Drosophila melanogaster: one gene and its partner. The protein of the gene in region 2 interacts with the protein of the main gene of each other region in a pairwise test. Each region holds a gene or a part of one and is shown on either strand. Other genes may lie near its edges.

The links.
Region 1: the proteins of E(spl)m5-HLH (region 2) and tap interact in a two-hybrid assay, tested with the Drosophila melanogaster proteins (one large-scale study listed by BioGRID).

The regions. Positions count from the first base shown.
Region 1 is NT_037436.4:17,357,720-17,362,603, forward strand, and holds tap (target of poxn), read left to right. Parts: upstream 1-1,962; 5' UTR 1,963-2,073; coding exon 2,074-3,270; 3' UTR 3,271-4,092; downstream 4,093-4,884. UniProt on the Drosophila melanogaster protein: May play a role in the specification of the sugar-sensitive adult gustatory neuron and affect the response to sugar and salt. Regulated by POXN.
Region 2 is NT_033777.3:26,028,028-26,031,408, forward strand, and holds E(spl)m5-HLH (enhancer of split m5, helix-loop-helix), read right to left. Parts: upstream 1,709-3,381; 5' UTR 1,626-1,708; coding exon 1,089-1,625; 3' UTR 827-1,088; downstream 1-826. UniProt on the Drosophila melanogaster protein: Participates in the control of cell fate choice by uncommitted neuroectodermal cells in the embryo. Transcriptional repressor. Binds DNA on N-box motifs: 5'-CACNAG-3'.

The DNA of each region.
Region 1 (4,884 bases), on a different chromosome or scaffold from region 2:
AAGTTTCCGGCTCCGGCATTGTATTTCGGTTTTTATTTGGACTGTAACGCCGCCCGAGGGCCTTTAAAAAAGGACTCTCATCGAGTCCAGGACAACACTCAATGGAAAAAGCAAACGCATCCGCACTTCAATTAACTGCCTAATTGATGTGCATTGTGGCTCTAAAAAACCAAATTAGCTACACGCGGCGGAGAAGCTTTGTAACATGGATGACGACGACGGCGACACGTGGCTGCTGGTGTGAATTTAAGTGGCATATATGGGATAGATTTTCTTCTCATGTAAGAAACATTGTTAGTAGTACTTAGCTCTTATAAAGATATTGATACAAACTACCATTAATATTCTGTTTAAAACTTCAATATAAATATATTTATATATATTTATATATATAAATATATTTATATATATATAAATATATTTTATAAGTTACGAAAACACTCATTGTACTGATCATACAAGAAAACTGATTAAAAAATAAATAAATAAGTATACCATTAAGTATTTGTTTATTTATATAAAACTATCTTGGTTTTGAAATCTATAAGGAAATTAATCAAACATCAGCTCTACTTAGTACATTTTTCATAACATACTTAGCTACCTTATAAAGCACTATTAAAGAAAAAATTGATGGTGTCACAATTACTGAAGCAAGGTTTATATTTTTTCAACAAAAGCACTCAATTCATTTCCATTAGGAGGAACTGCCTGAAATGTGGCATATTACTAAATTAGCCCCCTCGACACTCAAGTTCTCACTCGTGCTGGTAATTTGCGGCAATTGCCGCATATCATAACAAATCCGCACGTGGCACCCGTCGCCCACTTGAAATTGCAACTCCGATCCTCCTTTAACAGGATTGCCACAGATAGGAATCCCACATCGGCACACTTTGCCACTTGAGCAGCCGTTAAGACCGCGGCACGTGGCAACGCCTGGGTTTTCTACCAGGAGGATGGAGTCCTGTGGGAGTGAGAGCTTTCCGTTGAATACACATGTTGCTTTTGGTAAGTGGAGGCGGCATCCTGGCCACGTGCCACTAACCCGTTTAGCGACAGGCGTAAGCCCTAAACGATTATTGCGGTTTAGTTGCGAAAGGCGAAAGAGTTGATGGTAATTGAATCTTTTGAATTGCAATCGCATTATTTCGATGTGGCGATAAAACAAAATAACAATTTATTTAGTCCACGAAGCACACATACTCTATATATGTAGGAAAGGGTAAGAAATCTTTTAGTACGGAAATGGATTAAATCTCGTCCGAAAATTATACCTACACCGAAAATATAACAAAGTCGTAATGATCCGAAGATATCATATTAAACAAAAGTATTCCCTATTTCAAATAATTTTTGGATTTATCCTTAAACTAAGTGATTTTTACAAAATATATAATAATATAATATTTCTTCTTTTAATTTAACTATAATATAAAGCATATCTTAAATTGACCAACAATACTACTCATTCATTAATATAAATATAATTAAGTTTAAGCTGTGCAGTAAGCACATTGTATTTAAATAACCCTAGAGGAAGGGTATGACTATAGAGACGAGCTTTGATGATGCCGTTGGCGACACCGCTGATCCTCGGACGCAGACATCCTTCCGATTGGCCTAGAGAGCACCGCTCGCAGCGAAGCGTGAAAAATGCTCGTATTTTGACTGGTAGCGGCGGCCCGCAGAACGAATCTCCATCTCCAGGAAGTTCACCCCGCTGCAGGCAGTTCTAGCTAGACGACGTTGGTGTGTGAGTTGGCAAAAGCCACCCCCGGGCGGCAATCACGGCGCATATCTGTTGGGATTTGTGTCGGGGTTCTGTGCTCTCTACTTTGCGCTATGGCGCCGCCACGACCGACGACAATGCGCCGAGGGTTGATGCCTGTTAGTCCGGACCCAAATCAGCGGGCTTAATGGCTGGCCGGGCACATAAAACCGGTGCGCACTCCTCGCCAGCTTTTAGTTGGTGCGGGCACGCGAGACGCGAAGAAACAACTCTCTCAAAGCGGAAATCGTAAATCGGAAATGTGCTAAAGGATATACACACCGTGATACAGATACGAGATCATGGCCGCCTGCTACAATGCCTATAGCGCTGGATCACAGTCCTTCGAGTTCGACGAGGACGACGACGACGCCTCCTTCGACAGTGGCTACGAGAAGAGTTTCGAGACGGAGGCCCAGTTGAGCTCACGACGCCGCTTGGACTTTGGCACTCCGCCGACTCCGGCGATCCCGCAACCGTACTCCGGCGGCACCTGGGACGCCGTACCGCTCAGCTCACCGCCGGCGGGCTTCGTGGGATTGCTCGATACGAGCAGCAATCACAGCACTCGGAGCGGCAGGACACTGGTCGAACATCTGAACAGTCGGGCCACGAATGGCGTCTTCGATCCGCCATTGACCAGTACGCCGGTGAAGTCGCCAGAGGATCCCAATGCGCCGCGACCGAAACGCAAATATGCCGTCGGCAAGAACAGAGTAACTCGCTCGCGCAGTCCAACCCAAGTGGTGAAGATCAAGCGTTTCCGCCGCATGAAGGCCAATGACCGGGAGCGGAATCGGATGCATAACTTGAATGATGCCCTGGAGAAACTACGCGTCACTCTGCCCTCGCTTCCCGAGGAGACGAAGCTGACGAAGATCGAGATTCTGCGATTTGCGCACAACTACATCTTTGCCCTGGAGCAGGTGCTGGAAAGCGGAGGTTCAATCAACCTGGATCTGGAGAAGCTGCAGAACTTCACGCTGAGTGGTGAGAGGATTACCAAGGAGCTCTTCGATGCTCTTTTCGTGAATCCACAGCCGTATCCCTTGTTCGGACGAATGTTCCCCTATGGACAGGGAATGGCGCCTCTTGCACAGCACCAGACTGCTCCAGCATCGCACGCGGAGCAGCCGCCGGCGATGGGTGGCTTTCAGCACGGCATGGACTATCCGCAGCAGCCACCAGGATTCGACTTTACAGGCAGCATGCGGTTTTACCACCAACAGCAACAGCAGCCGCATCAGCCTCACCATCTGCAGCCTAATCCCCAGCAGGAGTCCAGCCCGCAGCAGTTCTCGCAGGAGAAATACGATCTGTTCAGGGGATCCTTCGATGCAGCTGCCAATCTTCATTCTACGAACTTGGATTCTGGGATTCACCAGCAGAGCAGCTTCTACTCGCAAACACCGCCATGGAAGGACTATCCGGAGGATCAGGCACACGTGCATCCCGTTCCACATCAACACAGCTACAAAAACTTCGCCCCGCAGGTGTAGCACAGTTTTGTGGGCCAAACTACGATCTTAGGGTTTTCAGCGTGATATACTAAAAGATTGCCGGAAATTGCAGGAAACTGATCAAGGGGAATTCCTCTAAGCGATTTGCCCTTGACTTACTTTAAAAACATAACTAAAGTAACTTATGGGTCCTATCTCGGGATTTCCCTTCCTTACTTTTCTCAACTTTCCTGCAATCCGTTGATATTGGTAATAAGCGAGGCACCTAATTGACTGCTAAGATTATCATCAAGTTTGAAAATGAAATATCTTTAAAAATTGTATATTTCACACTTGCGCTAATCTTTGAACTCAATTAGTTTCATGTTATAGAGGGATCCTCAATAGATTAACCAATTTAAAGTCAAACATCCAAAGTTAAGCTTCACGAACTCATTATTAATTCATATGAATTCCCATTATATTTGTATTCATTGGCTTCCTTCTTGCGGATCTCTGGTGAATATTTGAATTAAAAGTGCTTAGGGTAATCAATTTTCCAAAAAGCACTCTTCTTCTCAACATATTCGCATTCTTCTTGACTATATAGTACAAATCGGTTGTCCATTTAGTGTAAGCGATACGTACCTTGCCATTCTAGATTTAAGACCTATCTATAAGGATTCTTAAAATGAACCAGGTATTAGCCATAATTAACTGTACAATCGATTAAGTGTATGTAGGTTATGCCAGATTCTATATCAGTTATTGCAATGCAAGGAAAGCGAGCTAGTCAGGGCCAGAACTTTAAGGTGATAAGATTGAATTTCGATGTAAAACCATAAAGATTTATTTTTGCAAATAAAGTTGACGATCAAAACGAGCCAGAAAATGGTTTTGCGAGTGGGAAGAATGGACGAACTCCTGGACAAAGTCAAAAATAGTAGCCAAAGCAAACAACCCTGGAATCAGTGTACCGCTGTGTGCGGATTTCAGGTCCCAAACAAAGGACTTAAATTCAAATAAATATTGTATATTGCAGGGCACATAAAACGAATGGCTTTGTGTGTGTGCACTGCAGCTTGTTCTTATCGTAGGGGGCACTTTTCGCCCTTACAATTCGACATGGGGTGAGTTCAAGTAGAAACCGAACTCGAACTCCCGGCTCGGCCTTCATAGCTCGAACAATGGAAGATTGCCGTCACCTGCCACACAATTACAAAACGAATGTACCAACAGCAGCAGTCAGGACCAAACAGGGAATCCTGAAACATGAGCTGTGAGCCAGTGGACCTGCATGAATGCCACTCAAATTATTTAGTTGAATGAACCGAACCGGCAAGAGTCGAGGGAAATGCTTTACTGCTTTACTGCCTAACTGGGTAACAACTGACTGACTGACGTTTTCCGTTACGAGAAAAGGGTAAAAAGGTGGTAAAGATGCTGGAAAGCCGGTGAGGAATTCGCAATCTCAACTGAAGATTACAATAAGACAGTCTTATCCGTTAATAGAGCTGTCATACTGCAAAGCCTTACATTCAAAGGTTTTAAAGTTTTAAAAAAAGGCGTAGGTTTGCCTAATGCAACGTAAATTGAATATTGGGAAAGCAGGATATCTTTATCAGCAACTTGTATGATTTAATTTCAAATATCAACTACTAACCACCACTTTTA
Region 2 (3,381 bases):
CCGTTCCTCGATCCCCGCCCATCACTCAGCACGCACGTGCAGGGCACAAAAGCGGTCGTAATTGACGGTTTAACTCGATGGGCCCGGAACCTCCCCTGGCTGACAAACACGAGAGAAAAAAGTCCCAAAACGATATGTGAGCCCTGTCCAGGGGCTCGAGGGGTATGCAGATTCGACAACACTTTGCAACACGTGCAACACCACAGTGTTAAGCTGTTGATCGAGGCGTAGACAGGTCTGTGTCTTTTTTTGTCTCCGGTCCTCGGGGGCGTCGCTTGGCTAGGGGTTTGACTGGGTTTATGGCCAGAGGACCTCCTACTTGGACCCGGGGGAGTTCAACTCTTCGTCGAGGAGGTCGCAGCTGGGTTGTCAAGCACGGATCTTGTTTAGATCGATCATCAGGCGGGGGAGGTACTGCTTAATGTGTGTCTTTTACACAAAAACTGTGGAATTATTCTAATGAATTGCTCAACAAGGGTAATTATTTTTCAAAGAAGCAGAACAATATTCTTGACAATCTTATATCTACACAGAGAGGGATTACTTTCACTTGACATTGTCTCTTCAGAATTACAATTACTTGAATGTTCTGCAAAGTTTATTTTACTAATCTAAAATCTAAGCAAAATCTACAACACTCGTCTTGATCATCCATGATCATGATGATATTTTTGGATTTGATTCAATATTTTCTCCTTGTTTAAGATTTGTAACAAATAAATCATATTAGATTAATGAGATATCTGCAAGCCGAAAATCACAAAGCCAATTAGAATTTTGGCCTATGATTTTTGTTAATTTAAGTAAATAAATAGACCAAAGTATTAAGGTTTTTGTGTGTTTTGTATTTTATAACTATTAAAGCTGTTGTGTTGTTCTCTTAAAATAAATTCCTTAATAAACTAATAAAGCTTGAGGTGTGCTTATGATCTAGGTAAAGCTGTTATCACATTGTTAACGATTCAATTGGAAGACATGATTCGTTGCAGCAGAAGTTGCTGGTGGAAGACAGGATTCAATGTCGATGCTGAAGAAGATTCTTCAGCTGGAAGACTGGATTCGATGTCGATGATGATGGTGATGGTGATTTACCAAGGGCGCCACATGGTTTCTTCGACTGGCTTGGGGCTGGCGGCGGATTGAGAGTCCTCGTTATCGCTGTGGTATCCCGAGGAGGCGGGGCTGAGTGGGCGTGGGGTGGAGGTTGTAACAGAAGTCTGGACCTGATCGGCCTGCAGCATGCGCTGGAACTCGACGCCCAGATGGGTCATCACTGTCTTGCCCACATCCACACTCATGGCTGGAGTGCAGGCCATCACACGGGAGATCTCGCTGACGGCGTTCATGTAGCCATTCTTGAAGCTATCCATGGGAAGTGGGGAGACCGGCGCCTGCTGCTTGACGACCTGTTTGCGCATGAAGACGAGTGCCGCCTCCAGCATCTCGGCCTTGTCCATTCGCAGGATGGCATCATCGCCCTGGAACTCGGCCACCAAGGTCTTCAAGGTGTCCAAACACTTGTTCATGCGGGCCCGACGCTGGCGCTCCAAAAGGGGCTTCTTCACCTTCAAATAGTGCTGGGTCTTGGAGACGAATGTGGTGCTGTTGTTGCTCTGTGGTGCCATTTTGTAATGTGTTTTTTGTTTTGGAAGATTTGTAGAAATGTGCTGAGCTGATCTGAACTGCTTGCAGGATGCTGCTCGAATGATGCTGGATTCCTCGACTGCACCGGCTTTTATACCCGCAGCAGCCGCAGCAGCAGCAGTGTGGAGAAGGTCCTTGCTGGAGGACCTGCTACCTGCGAACACCGTAAAGATCTCGAAATCTTATTGCTATGCTGTGCGTGCGTGGGAAAGGAAACCAAGGAAATCGTTGTGCAAAGACTGAGTTTTCAGGCTGCTTTTCTTGGCTCCCTTTGTGTGTTTTATTCCTTTCAATTGTCTAGCCAAGGAGTGTGGGTCCTGGCGACGCATTGTAACTGCAATTAAACCGTAAAATGCTGGCCAAGACGTGGGAACGTGGTGCTCAGAATTGGGCCCAATTGTCTGCGACAAACTGATTCGGTTTGGGCCAGCAAATGAAAATCAAACTCGGTAAAATTGTAATTGTCTTGTTGTGGCTTACTGATCTTTGGATCGCTGAAAGGAAAGAAGGAGGATCGTTTAGATCCTTTAGCCAGTTTCAAAACTAAATATGGGATGTTAGAGGTTGATGTAATCATGGATAGCAAACACTTATACCTCAATAAGGAATCAAATAGGTGGATACAAAGTACATAAAATTTTAGGGATTCGTCATCTGCTCATGCAAGTAATTATAAAATCCAATTCATTACAAACAAGCACTTAGATATATGTCCTAGTCATGGTTTTTTAGGGTCCCTTCACCATCATCGCTGCCCCATAAATCCTGACCCAATGCTCGCCCGATCCCCATGCACACTTTACTGACAACCCTTAACGCTAACCCCAATCCCCATCCCAGATCCAATTCGAATCCCGAGAAAGTGGCTGTCACCGTTGTTAGGGTCTTGAGGGGTCTTTCCGTTTGTTTTGCTCGATTTTCATATCGTGAGAACCGCTCGAGACGCGTCGTGTGTTTCCCACGCGATGTGCACACCTGCCATTTAAGACGCTTATATGGTTACGATTACAGGCACGGATACACGGAAAGCCAGCGAGACACAGATACTCCACACAGACAACCACTTGGCCGTAAATATACAGAAGCAACAACCAGATGAGGGCACACATTTATCTGTCGGCACACATTTATTGCGCCGGCGCGACGCTTATTATCAGCCCAAGTAGCAATCGTCGTGTGAGTGACTGATGCACTGACGGATTGACTAAACTGCTCGACTGAATGACTGAATGACTGCCGGACGGACTGACTGACTGACTGACTGGCGAACTGAGAAACCGACTGATTACTGCCTGCTTTACTTTAGTTTTTCACTCTTGTCGCCGTCATTGACGATTGTTTAATTTAAATTGCCGGCTACCAGTCGGCGGGCTTAATGATTATGGCCGGGCCCAGAGCCAGAGCCAGAGTTGCCATCCAAGTTCCGTGGAACTTGTACGCAATAGTTATTTGTACTTTACGACATGGGCTAATTGAACGAACGCACCCGCAGAAGAAGTTTAACGAGCCGTCTGTCATTGATTGAAGTGGTGAATGGGAGTTGCGGGGACGTGGGGATTTGGCCTGTCAATGGGCAATCAAATCATTAACGTATCCAAGGTGAGTGAGAATCCCCAGTAGCAGTGACCAGCTAACTGACAGCCACTGGATGGATTTCAATGATCCCATCGCCTGACTTACGTCGTCCGTTCGTGGACCAATCCTTTGAGGGATTTATGTATGCCGGACCACCAGTTT